Linked DNA regions of Macaca mulatta. The protein of the gene in region 3 purifies or fractionates together with the protein of the main gene of each other region. This does not show direct contact. Links are inferred from orthologs where the notes say so. Each region holds a gene or a part of one and is shown on either strand. Other genes may lie near its edges. The genes, in order: NXF1, DDX39B and FYTTD1.

Region 1 (3,067 bases), on a different chromosome or scaffold from region 3:
GCTTGAGCCTGGGAGGCAGAGGTTGCAATGAGCCAAGATCGCACCACTGCACTCCAGCCTGGGCAACAGAGCAGGACTCCATCTCAAAAAGAAAAAAAAAAGGTGGCACATGCCTATAGGCCCAGCTACTCTGGAGGCTGAGGTGGGAGGATAGCTTGTGCTCAGCAGTTAGAGGCTACAGTGAGTTATGATCACCACTACACTCAAGCCTGGATGACAGAGCAAGAACTTGTCTCTATAAAAAAAAACTAAAAACACACACAAAAAAACCATCAGGAGCTCTCATTATTTACTACTAGCCCTCCTTCAGTTCACCCCGTCCTACACATGCCCAGTACTCACTTCTGGGACCACTCGAGGTTCATGCCAGACTGGGTAGAGAATGCCTGCAACATTTCCTGCTGCTCTGGAGAGAGGGTGGGCACTGGGCTGGAGGAAGGCGTGGGCGCAGGCATAGCGAAGGCTCTTTGGATCTCTTCAGAACTGGCATTCCGCACAAATAGCTCGTCGTTTACAATGCATAGCCTTGAGGACAAAGAGCACTTAAAAAGCTAGACAGATAACGTCATCCTCCCATCATTCCTATTCTCTGATTCTTTCAATATCCACAAGGTCCCTCCCTCCCCCCTTAGCTATTGTTACCTTTTATCATTTATCCCCTCCCATGGAATCAATGTTTGGAAGGATTATCTACCAAACACACTAGAGTTCTCCCAACCCATGGACAGTTCTTAGCTCTTTTATTCATCCTCACGACAAACTTAGGCAGTGAATATTGTTAAATGAATTTTCAGATGAGGCAGCAGCCTACTTGCTGGAAGTGGTGGAGCCAGGATGAAAACCCAGACGGCACAATTCCAGAGCCAAGCTATTAACTAACTTGCTCTTAACTACTATGTGAGCTTTCCCTGATTTCCTGTTGCCTTTCTGAAATCACCCCAAAGACTGACTCTACCTTCCAATTACCACACTGTTGGCCATGATTAGGACTGGTATCCAATGTGAAAAGCAGAATACTTACCCTGAATTGCTAGCAGGAACAGCAATGAACGTCCGGGTGAAGGCTCGCAAAGAATCCCGGGACTTTCCGTCCACTGCAATGAGAACAGCAACGACACCTTAGGGTCACTAGTGCTTTATGTTTACAAACAGCTTCTTGAATCATGGTCTTCTTTGATACAAAGAATCCTAGCGGGTCAGAGAGGGATGATTAAGTATATAAGGGTATAAGGGAAGCAGAGGTGGGGTGAAAGGTCAGGTCAGAAAGGACAATAGTAATAACTACGGCCGGGCGTGGTGTCTCATGGTTATAATCCCAGCACTTTGGGAGACCAAGGCAGGTGGATCCCGTCCAACATGGCGAAACCCCGTCTGTACTAAAAATACAAAAATTAGCTGGGCGTGGTGGTGCGCGCCTATAGGCCCAGCTACTTGGGAGGCTGAGGCAGGAGAACCAGTTGAACCCAGGAGGCGGAGGTCGCAGTGAGCCAAGACTGCGCCACTGCGCTCCAGCCTGGTGACAGAGTGCGTGCGTGCGTCTCAAAAAAAAGTAATTACTACTAATCCACTGATAGCATCTGTGTGCCAGGCCCCAGGCCAAGCACTTTGTAAGTCACTTCAGTTACTTCCTATAGCACCACTATGAGATGGCTATTACTTAACCCCAACTTACAAATAAAGAATCTGTCTTAGAGGTAATGTTACTTGTCCGCAGCCCCACACAACCAAAACTGGGATGGAAACTAAGAACTGCCTGACTCCAAAGTCCTCCTAATCCCCAGGCTTTTCCCATAGCCAGAAAGGACAGGTGGAGAGGCAGGCCAAGCCAAGACGGCTTGGGTTCAGAATGGGAGAAGGAGCTCAAAAAGAAAATGGGAGAGAAAGTAGCTGGGAGGCTAAGAGTGCTGAGGAAAATTCCAGCTGGGGGTGGGACCATGCTACAAACTCAGGACTCCAGAGATTCTTACCTTCCTTGAAGACTCCATTGACAGAAAAACACAGCAGTGTACTCTGAAAGAGAAGCAGCATCGGGTACAATGTACACTTCTCAGAGCCTGAGTGCCCCCCCTTGTCTATTAAATGCCACCCCCACCCCAATTTTAGGCTTCTGTCAGGGCACCAACAGGAGCTTACTGTCTGGGCGCTTATGTCTACCACGAAGGAATTGACGTCATGCTGGGTTTTGGGCAACTCGTTGAGGAAGGCAACAACGTTGAGACGCGTGTGCTTCAGCAGCCGGAACCGCAAGGCTGTGGGTGGAGGAGAAAGCTCAGCGGTGCTGCCACATACTCCTGAGTTCTATGACTGATTCCTTCCCATGCCCTTTTCCCATCGTATTTTGTTCATATCACACACTTACTAGGGTCTTTAAGCTTCTTCACATTTCTGCTATCCTTGAAATACTCGGCCAAGCTGCTTCTGGGGGAATAAGAGGATTGGACGTGGTGTTCAGAGCAGTGCTGCCAGCAGGTGCTCCCTTGTATCTGCTGGGAAACCCAGTGGTCCCGGGGAGATTCTGGGATGTGATACTCACCGGGCAGGGTTCTGAGGAATGAAAGGAATGCTCAGGGAACAGCAGGCCCCATCATGGTAGGCATCCAGGAGCCCTTGCCGGTCTCCAGAGTCATAAATTGCATAGTACCTATGGGAAAATCAAAAGAGAAAGTATGAACTATGTGGTCTAGAGCCATAAAAGGACCCAGTAGCTCCCAAGAGTGAGTTGTGGCCGGGCATGGAGGCTCATGTCTGTAATCCCAGCACTTTGGGAGGCTGAGGCAGATGAACAGCTTTTGCCCAGGAGTTCAAGACCAGCCTGAGCAACATGGCAAAACCCTGTCTCTACTAAAAATACAAACAAAATGGCTGGGCGCGGTGGCTCATGACTCTAATCCCAACACTTTGGGAGGATAAGGCAGGCGGATCATGAGGTCAGGAGTTGGAGACTAGCCTGGCCAACACAGTGAAACCCCGTCTCTATGAAAAATACAAAAATTGGCCGGGCGCGGTGGCTCAAGCCTGTAATCCCAGCACTTTGGGAGGCCAAGACGGGCGGATCACAAGGTCAGGA
Region 2 (4,144 bases), on a different chromosome or scaffold from region 3:
CCCCATGAAATTACTGCTTTGGGTGAAATATTATCACTTCATGTTAAAACCATTAGGTGAATAGTTGGTTAGGGATCTGGGCCTTGGTACAGTGTCAAATAACACCAGAAACTCTAGTTTTAAGGGGGAAAAGAATGACCATGGAATCAGACTGTCACGATGCTAATCCTATGGTAAACCTAAAGTCACTAATGAGGCCAGGCACAGTGGCTCACACCTGTAATCCCAGCACTTTGGGAGGCCGAGGTGGGTGGATCACTTGAGGTCAGGAGTTCGAGACCAGCCTGGCCAACATGGCGAAACCCTGTCACTACCAAAAAAAAAAAAAAAAAATTAGCCGGGTATGATGGCACACTGTAGTCCCAGCCACTCAGCAGGTTGAAGCAGGAGAATCGCTTGAACCTGGGAGGTGCAGGCTGCAGTGAGCTGAGATCGCACCACTACACTCACAGCCCAGGGGACGCAGCAAGACTCCATCTCAAAACAAATAAATAAAAATAAAAATAACTAACATAAGTCAACCCGATTTCTGGCATAACAGGAGATACAGCATCACCTATGAAGGATAATTGCCAAAAATGCTTAACTTCAATCAGATTTTTTTTTTTTGAGATGGGAGTCTCACTCTGTCACCCAGGCTGGAGTGTAGTGGCACAATCTCAGCTCACTATAACCTCTGCTTCCTGGGTTCAAGCGATTCTCCTGCCTCAGCCTCCCAAGTAGGTAGGACTACAGGTGTGTGCCACCACGCCCGGCTAATTTTTGCATTTTTAGTAGAGACAGGGTTTCATCGCATTGGCCACACTGGTCTCGAACTCCTGACCTCAAATGATCCACATGCCTTGGCCTCCCAAAGTGCTGAGATTACAGGTGTAAGCCGCTGCGCACTTGGCCAGAATCCTCAATATTCACACACCCCTGAAGCTGTTTTAAAGTTTCTGGCTTTCTCTGCCACACACCCCAAAATTACCAAACTGATAGGATTCAAAGTCAGTATAAAGTAGTAAAAAAAGGGTGGTCTCGGTTAAGCATCATCCATAGCCCAATTACGAATCCTCCCGTTACATAGGATCTTAACACTGTTAAACCATGGCAAACTAAAACTTCTCCAAAATTAAAGAGACTACTGGCCTACAAGTTTCTTATCCCTCCAACTTGCCACACCCTCACTCTGAGGTCTCTTTACCTCGGCTTACCTTGACATTGGGCATGTATTTAGAGAAGCGCTCATATTCCTTGCTGATCTGAAAAGCCAACTCCCGAGTGTGACACATCACCAGCACAGACACCTTAGGCAGGAAGTAGACCGAGACATACCATGAGTGTAGCCCTTCATCGTTCCCTCTAGGGAAGTGACTGACAAAAACACACCTGGGCCGATAATAAATGACTTCAATTCTGTGATCTAAATCACGAACCCCATGCTTGGATAGAACATTCCCCACAGCTGTCAGGTTGTCAAGGGTAACCGAGGTCATCATGTAGCTAGGACAAAAACACCCTTCCCTTATAGTCCTAACCAAAACCCCTTCCCCAGCACTCTCCCCAAATATACCTGCCCAGTAACTGGCTCCAGCTGTTGCAGTGTGGCCAACACAAACACTGCTGTCTTTCCCATGCCCGACTTGGCCTGGCACAGGACATCCATTCCCAGAATGGCCTGAGGGATGCACTCATGCTGGACTAAAAGTAGGGAGGAAAGATAAATTAGACTTCAGTCTCCAGATAACTCTACAACCTTTTTCATCATGCCAAGCCCATTTCTTACCACTCAATTCTCAAAATCTAGTATTTACCTGGTTCTTGCCAACTTCCAGACCCCTTTTTCCTCTCTCTGCTCAATTATATTCACCTCAAAATCAGACTCTCCTAATTCATCCCAGCTTTGGCCTCCTCCAGATCTAGGCCTTCCCAGTCCTACTAACAGCCCCCTTGCATCTACCAACCGCTCACCTTCAATGCTCCTGGCTCTGTCCTTATTTTTCTTAATCTGTAACAATTCATGACATCTGAATACCTGCTAAAGACATTTCTCCTACTTAGGTTGCCATACTTCGGGTCACATAACAACAACCCGGGACAAAATGAAGGACTTGGTACCTGACCCAGAAGCCAGTCATCTCTAAACCAGTCATAGAGGTTTCCAGAGGCCACAGTTGGCCTGGCCCAACAGAGGGAGACTACAGGTCCAATCAGGACCTTTCTGGAAATTTAAAATTACAAGTCAAATGACAAAATTAAAAATAAGCAGACAAAAGAAGTCAGTCACAAGAATGAATGGCAGACCTAGAAGCTACTTTTGGATAATTAGCACTTTGGTGCTATCATGAAAGAAAGAACAAGTCTGTATAATCCTCCTCTATCCAAAATCGTTTTCGATACTTATCTCCTGATTTTTTTTTTCCTCACTGTCTCCCCGGCTGGTGTACAGTAGTGCAATCACGGCTCACTGAAGCCTCAACCTTCACCTGCTTCGTTTAGTAGAGACAGGAGTCTCCCTATCTTGCCCAGGCTTCTCTTGCACTCGAGCTCAAGTGACCACCCCTCCTGCCTTGCCCTCCCAAAGCGCTGGGATTACAGGCGTGAGCCCCTGCACCTGACCCTGATCTAGCCTTAAGTATAAACTTTTACCACCTGAGCAACAACAAACACATCTTTTTATTGTACCCTTAAAGAGCCCAATGAGCACTACATGCCCAAGAGAAAATTTACCTTCTGACGGATGCTCAAAGCCACAGTCGACAATGGCCCGGAGCAACTCTGGCTTGAGCAGGAAGTCACGAAAGCCAGAGCTGTGGATGGAGACATAGGAGCCCTTGACATCCTTCTTGGCAGGGGCCTCAGCCCCATCTCCCCCAGCTGCTGTCTCCACCTCATCATCTTCATAGTCCAAGAGCTCATTGTCCACATCGTTCTCTGCCATAACTGGGCCGGCAGGGGAAGACGGGAAGGGGAATCTGGATGGGTTCTCGCAAAACAGGTGAAAACAAGGGGTGAAGAGTAGGGGATTGAGGAACAGCAAAGGAAAATAAAGATACTATTTCTAACAGAAGAGCTGGGGAGGGGGAAAAAAAAAAAAGCAAGACTTAGTCACGAGCAGAGCCTTCACCACCTCTTTTCCATTCCCAGTTCCCACTTTCCCTAAACTAGGAAACTTTTACATGGAAAAAAAAACAGATACACAACATAAAAACGAAAAGCAAATACAACAGAACAGAAAAAGCAGCACCAGCGAAAGTGGTTAGGACACAGGTTCCCAACAAGATTAGCAATCACAGTAGCGGAAACCAGAAAAGTTGGAAGGGGAAGACCAACTTATAAATTCTTAATCTGAAAATAAGTGAGGAAATATAATAGATAATAAAAGATAAAATATGATTAATAACTTAGTAAAGTGGAAAATGGAGATGACAAGCAGAGTCCTGGAAAGTCCTCAAAGGAAGACTGTGCTTTCCCTATTATAATCCCACCGTTATGGATGCCTAACTCAGCAGCCATCAGTCAAGGGTGATAGATGAGGGTCATCACTGCGCAAAGCGCTCATCTTTCGAAAAGAAAACATCATATGGCCGCCGTCCACCTCCCATAGCTCTCAGCCTCCCACTTCTCAGTATCCTCTCTTCCGTTGTTTAAGAAAGCCTTGTGTAATTAGCATGGGGGGGAGGGGCGGTGCAAGACAAATGGCTCGGCCACCAAAAACAAAAAAAATCCATGTCTCCACCCTACAATAACAAAGTTAATAGTTGACAGAGAAAGGCAATCCCCGCCCAGGCTTTAACAGGATCTTTACCAAGTGGTCTGACATCACTGTTGCGCTACGAAGGTGAGACTCCTTTTGGAGAAACATACAATGACACCAATAGTAAACACTTGTAAGGCACTCCAAATTAACTTGGGCGAGTCAAGGTGAGAAAAATCCAACTGGGCCCAAAAACCGGCTCCTCCTCCCAGTCCCACCGTGGGCCAAGAAAGGGCTCAAGAAAGGACAAGTAAGGTGATAAGAGCCCCGCCCTCCGCAAATACCAAGACCAAGGGACGCCTAGCGCCGCCTCTCATTGATGCTGAGGCCTCCAATATGAAAAGAACCTACTGGAAGAAGGGAGCAAAACGAACACAATGGCGCCGAGGACACCATCTTGGATTG
Region 3 (3,650 bases):
CCCCAGGCGTGGTGGTGTGTGCCTGTATCCCCAGGTGTGGTGGTGTGTGGCTGCATCCCCAGGTGTGGTGTGTGCCTGTATCCCCAGGCCTGGTGGTGTGTGCCTGCATCCCCAGGCATGGTGTGTGTCCCTGTATCCCCATGTGTGGTGGTGTGTGCCCTCCCCAGGTGTGGTGGTGTGTGCGCCTGTATCCCCAGGCATGGTGGTGTGTGCGCCTGTATCCCCAGGCGTGGTGGTGTGTGCCTGCATCCCCAGGCGTGGTGGTGTGTGCCTGCATCCCCAGGCGTGGTGGTGTGTGCCTGCATCCCCAGGCGTGGTGGTGTGTGCCTGCATCCCCAGGCGTGGTGGTGTGTCCCTGCATCCCCAGGCGTGGTGGTGTGTGCCTGCATCCCCAGGTGTGGTGGTGTGTGCCTGTATCCCCAGCTACCCAGGAGGCTGAGGTGGGAGGAAGGATCGTTTGAGCCTGGGAAGTCAAGGCTACAGTGAGCTATGATTATGCCACTGCATTCCAGTCTTGGTGGCAGAGCGAGACCCTGTTTCAAAAAAAAAAAAAAAAGTCCTAAGGAATCTACAAAGTCAATACAAAAGTAAGTGAATTTAGCAAGATTACAGGATACAAGGTTAATATGGTTAATACAAAATTGTCAATGTGCTTTTTGACTTTTTTTTTTTTTGGAGATGAGTATTGCTCTGCTGCCCAGGCTGGAGTGAGTGGCACGATCTCAGCTCACTGCCATCTCTGCCCCCTGGGTTCAAGCAATTCTCCTGCCTCAGCCTCCCTAGTAGCTGGGATGACAGGCACCTGCCACCACACCAGGCTAATTTTTGTATTTTTAGTAGAGACAGGATTTCACCATGTTGGCCAGGCTGGTCTCGAACTCCTGACTTTAGGTGATCTGCCCACCTCGGCCTCCCAAAGTGCTGGGAACACAGGCGTGAGCCACCGCGCCTGGTCGGTTTTGACAATTTGTTATTATCCTTGTATCCTGTAATCTTGCTAGATGGCTATAGTCAAACAGCAGATAACAGTGAGTATTGGTGAGGATATAGAGAAATTCAGAACCCTCATAGACGCTGGCGGGAATATAAAGTTGTAGCACAGACTCTTCTAAGGAAAACAGTCCAGCAGTTCCTCAAAAGATTAGATAAAGAGTTACTATAAACCGGCCGGGCGCGGTGGCTCAAGCCTGTAATCCCAGCACTTTGGGAGGCCGAGACGGGCAGATCACAAGGTCAGGAGATCGAGACCAGCCTGGCTAACATGGTGAAACCCCGTCTCTACTAAAAATACAAAAAAAAATCTAGCCGGGTGAGGTGGCGGGCGCCTGTGGACCCAGCTACTTGGGAGGCTGAGGCAGGAGAATGCCGTGAACCCGGGAGGTGGAACTTGCAGTGAGCTGAGATCCGGCCACTGCACTCCAGCCTGGGCGACAGAGCGAGACTCCGTCTCAAAAACAAACAAACAAACAAACAAAAAAAGAGTTACTATAAACCTAGCAATTCTACTCCTAGGTATTTACCAGGGAGAAATGAAAACAGATGCTCACACAAAAACTTCTGCGCAAATGCTCAGAGTAGGATTATTCATAGTGTCCGAGGAGTGAAAACACCCAAATACCCATCCAGTAACGAAGGAATAAATAAGATGTGGTATATACATATGATGAACACTGTTCAGCAGGAAAACAAAATTAAATACGGACACAATATAGATGAACCTTGAAAACATTATGCTAAGTGAAACAATTCAGTCACAAATATATACTGTATGATCTGATTTATATGAAATGTCAAAATAGGCAAACTGGCAGACAGAAGTGGGTTAGTGGTTCCCTAGGTTTCAGGGGGCAGTTAGGATACCTTGTTTATAATTCACGATTATAATAAATGTTTTGTTAATTAAAATATTCTCAGCAGATGACCCAAGAAAATACAGAAAATGTTTTTTACCTGTTTTCCGACGCTGTTTATGTCAAACTGTAGGGGAACACCTTTAGGAACTTTCCGGGCGTCACTTTGCTCCCGCTTTGTTAAAAATGAAGGTGCAGCAGTGCGAGTTAATCGTGGTTTCTGAGTTCTATTAGAAAAATATTAAAGTATCAGAGCAGCTTAACAATGAAAGGAAAAATAAATTAATTTGGTACTTAAGACATCCTGTACACATGTTCAAATGTATTAGGGCCATTTTATTTGTGTTTTCAAAAAAACGGTGTCATTGGCTACTCTATACTAAAATATATCATTGTTCAGAGAATACCTCTTTAAATAGAACTACAAACTTTTCAACAAGTTGGAATGTTTGGTGATTCCTAACTCTTGATCTTCCATTAAAATAAAGCAACCTCTAAAGTCCTAGGCACCCATCCTACACTCTTTTCATTTCAATCATTAAGATGGCTGGATGGCTACGCACTGTGGCTCAGGCCTATAATCCTGGTACTTTGGGAGGCCAAGGCAGGAGGATCGCTTGAGGCCAGGGGTTAGAGATCAGCCTAAGGAACATAGCAAGACCCCACCTCTACAAAAAAAATTATAAAATAAATAAAATAAAATTAGCTGGGTGTGGTGGTGCATGCCTATGTTCCCAGCTACTCGGAGGCTGAGGCAGGAGAATTATTGAAGCCCAGGAGTTCGAGGCAGCAGTGAGATATGATGGCACCACTGCACTCCAGCCTGGTCATCAGAGTAGACCTTATCTCTTAAAAAAATCAAAGAGATGCTTGAATAGAACATAAGCTCCATAAATCGACAACGTTTATAAAGCAATAAATTTAAAGAGAAGGTAGGTCTGTATGGTCTGAAAAATAAAGACATCAAAAATATTACAGGCATTGGGGGAAGAAGTAGCATGTATACTGTCATCTCGTTTATTATTGTACATAAAAATACACATATTGGGTCAGGTGCAGGGCTCTCGCCTGTAACCTCAGCACTTCGGGAGGCCAAGGTGAGAGGACTGCTTGAGTCTAGGAGTTCAAGACCAGTCTGGGCACAAACAAACAAAAAAGCCAGGTGTGGTGGTGGCACCTGCAGCCCCAGCTACTCAGGACTCATGGTGGTGGCACCTGCAGTCCCAGCTACTCAGGACTGGGGAGGCTGAGGCAGGAGGATTGCTTGAGCTTGGGAGGTCAAGGCTGCAATAAGCCATGATCATGGCACTATACTCCAGCCTGGGTAACAGAGCCAGACTTTGCCCCCAAAAGAGGGTACATATGATATACATGCACATAATTTTTAAAATATTAAAAAACACTGTTCAACATGGTCATTTAGGGCTGCAGAATCAGGAATCCAGAAAACTCTTCCTTTTAACTTTACATGACACTGTTTCCATATTGTATCACAGGCATTACTTCTGCCTGGTTTATCCTCACTTGGACATCATTCTCTGGGCAGAAGTCTAATACTTTCTTATGATCTTGTGTAATGAGAGGTTATAATTTTTGCAAAAAGAAAGAAACAACTTACACTGGGCATTGAACTGCTCCAGGATTGTCAATAGATACAGTCAAAATCCCTCCATTTGTGGTGGAAGTCCGCCATCTAGTATCAAAAAAAAATAAAATTCACTAAATGTAAGTTGATAAACCCTATGTATATTCAAAATAAAAATAAACATTTTAAAAGCAGCCATGGCCGGGCGCGGTGGC

The links.
Region 1: the proteins of FYTTD1 (region 3) and NXF1 purify together in Homo sapiens (affinity purification with western blotting; 3 studies listed by BioGRID and IntAct, with this or other methods). This does not show direct contact. The link is inferred for Macaca mulatta from reciprocal best matches to the Homo sapiens genes FYTTD1 and NXF1.
Region 2: the proteins of FYTTD1 (region 3) and DDX39B purify together in Homo sapiens (affinity purification with mass spectrometry; 5 studies listed by BioGRID and IntAct, with this or other methods). This does not show direct contact. The link is inferred for Macaca mulatta from reciprocal best matches to the Homo sapiens genes FYTTD1 and DDX39B.

What each region holds. Positions count from the first base shown.
Region 1 is NC_133419.1:11,261,732-11,264,798, reverse strand, and holds part of NXF1 (nuclear RNA export factor 1), read right to left. Parts: intron 2,642-3,067; coding exon 2,534-2,641; intron 2,419-2,533; coding exon 2,360-2,418; intron 2,250-2,359; coding exon 2,134-2,249; exon of another isoform or gene 2,120-2,133; intron 2,011-2,119; coding exon 1,968-2,010; intron 1,129-1,967; exon of another isoform or gene 1,095-1,128; coding exon 1,022-1,094; intron 526-1,021; coding exon 343-525; exon of another isoform or gene 297-342; intron 1-296.
Region 2 is NC_133409.1:150,789,345-150,793,488, reverse strand, and holds the start of DDX39B (spliceosome RNA helicase DDX39B), read right to left. Parts: upstream 2,924-4,144; coding exon 2,713-2,923; intron 1,684-2,712; coding exon 1,556-1,683; intron 1,290-1,555; coding exon 1,197-1,289; intron 1-1,196. UniProt on the Homo sapiens protein: Involved in nuclear export of spliced and unspliced mRNA. Component of the TREX complex which is thought to couple mRNA transcription, processing and nuclear export, and specifically associates with spliced mRNA and not with unspliced pre-mRNA.
Region 3 is NC_133407.1:1,160,265-1,163,914, forward strand, and holds part of FYTTD1 (UAP56-interacting factor), read right to left. Parts: intron 3,544-3,650; coding exon 3,469-3,543; intron 2,078-3,468; coding exon 1,951-2,077; intron 1-1,950. UniProt on the Homo sapiens protein: Required for mRNA export from the nucleus to the cytoplasm. Acts as an adapter that uses the DDX39B/UAP56-NFX1 pathway to ensure efficient mRNA export and delivering to the nuclear pore.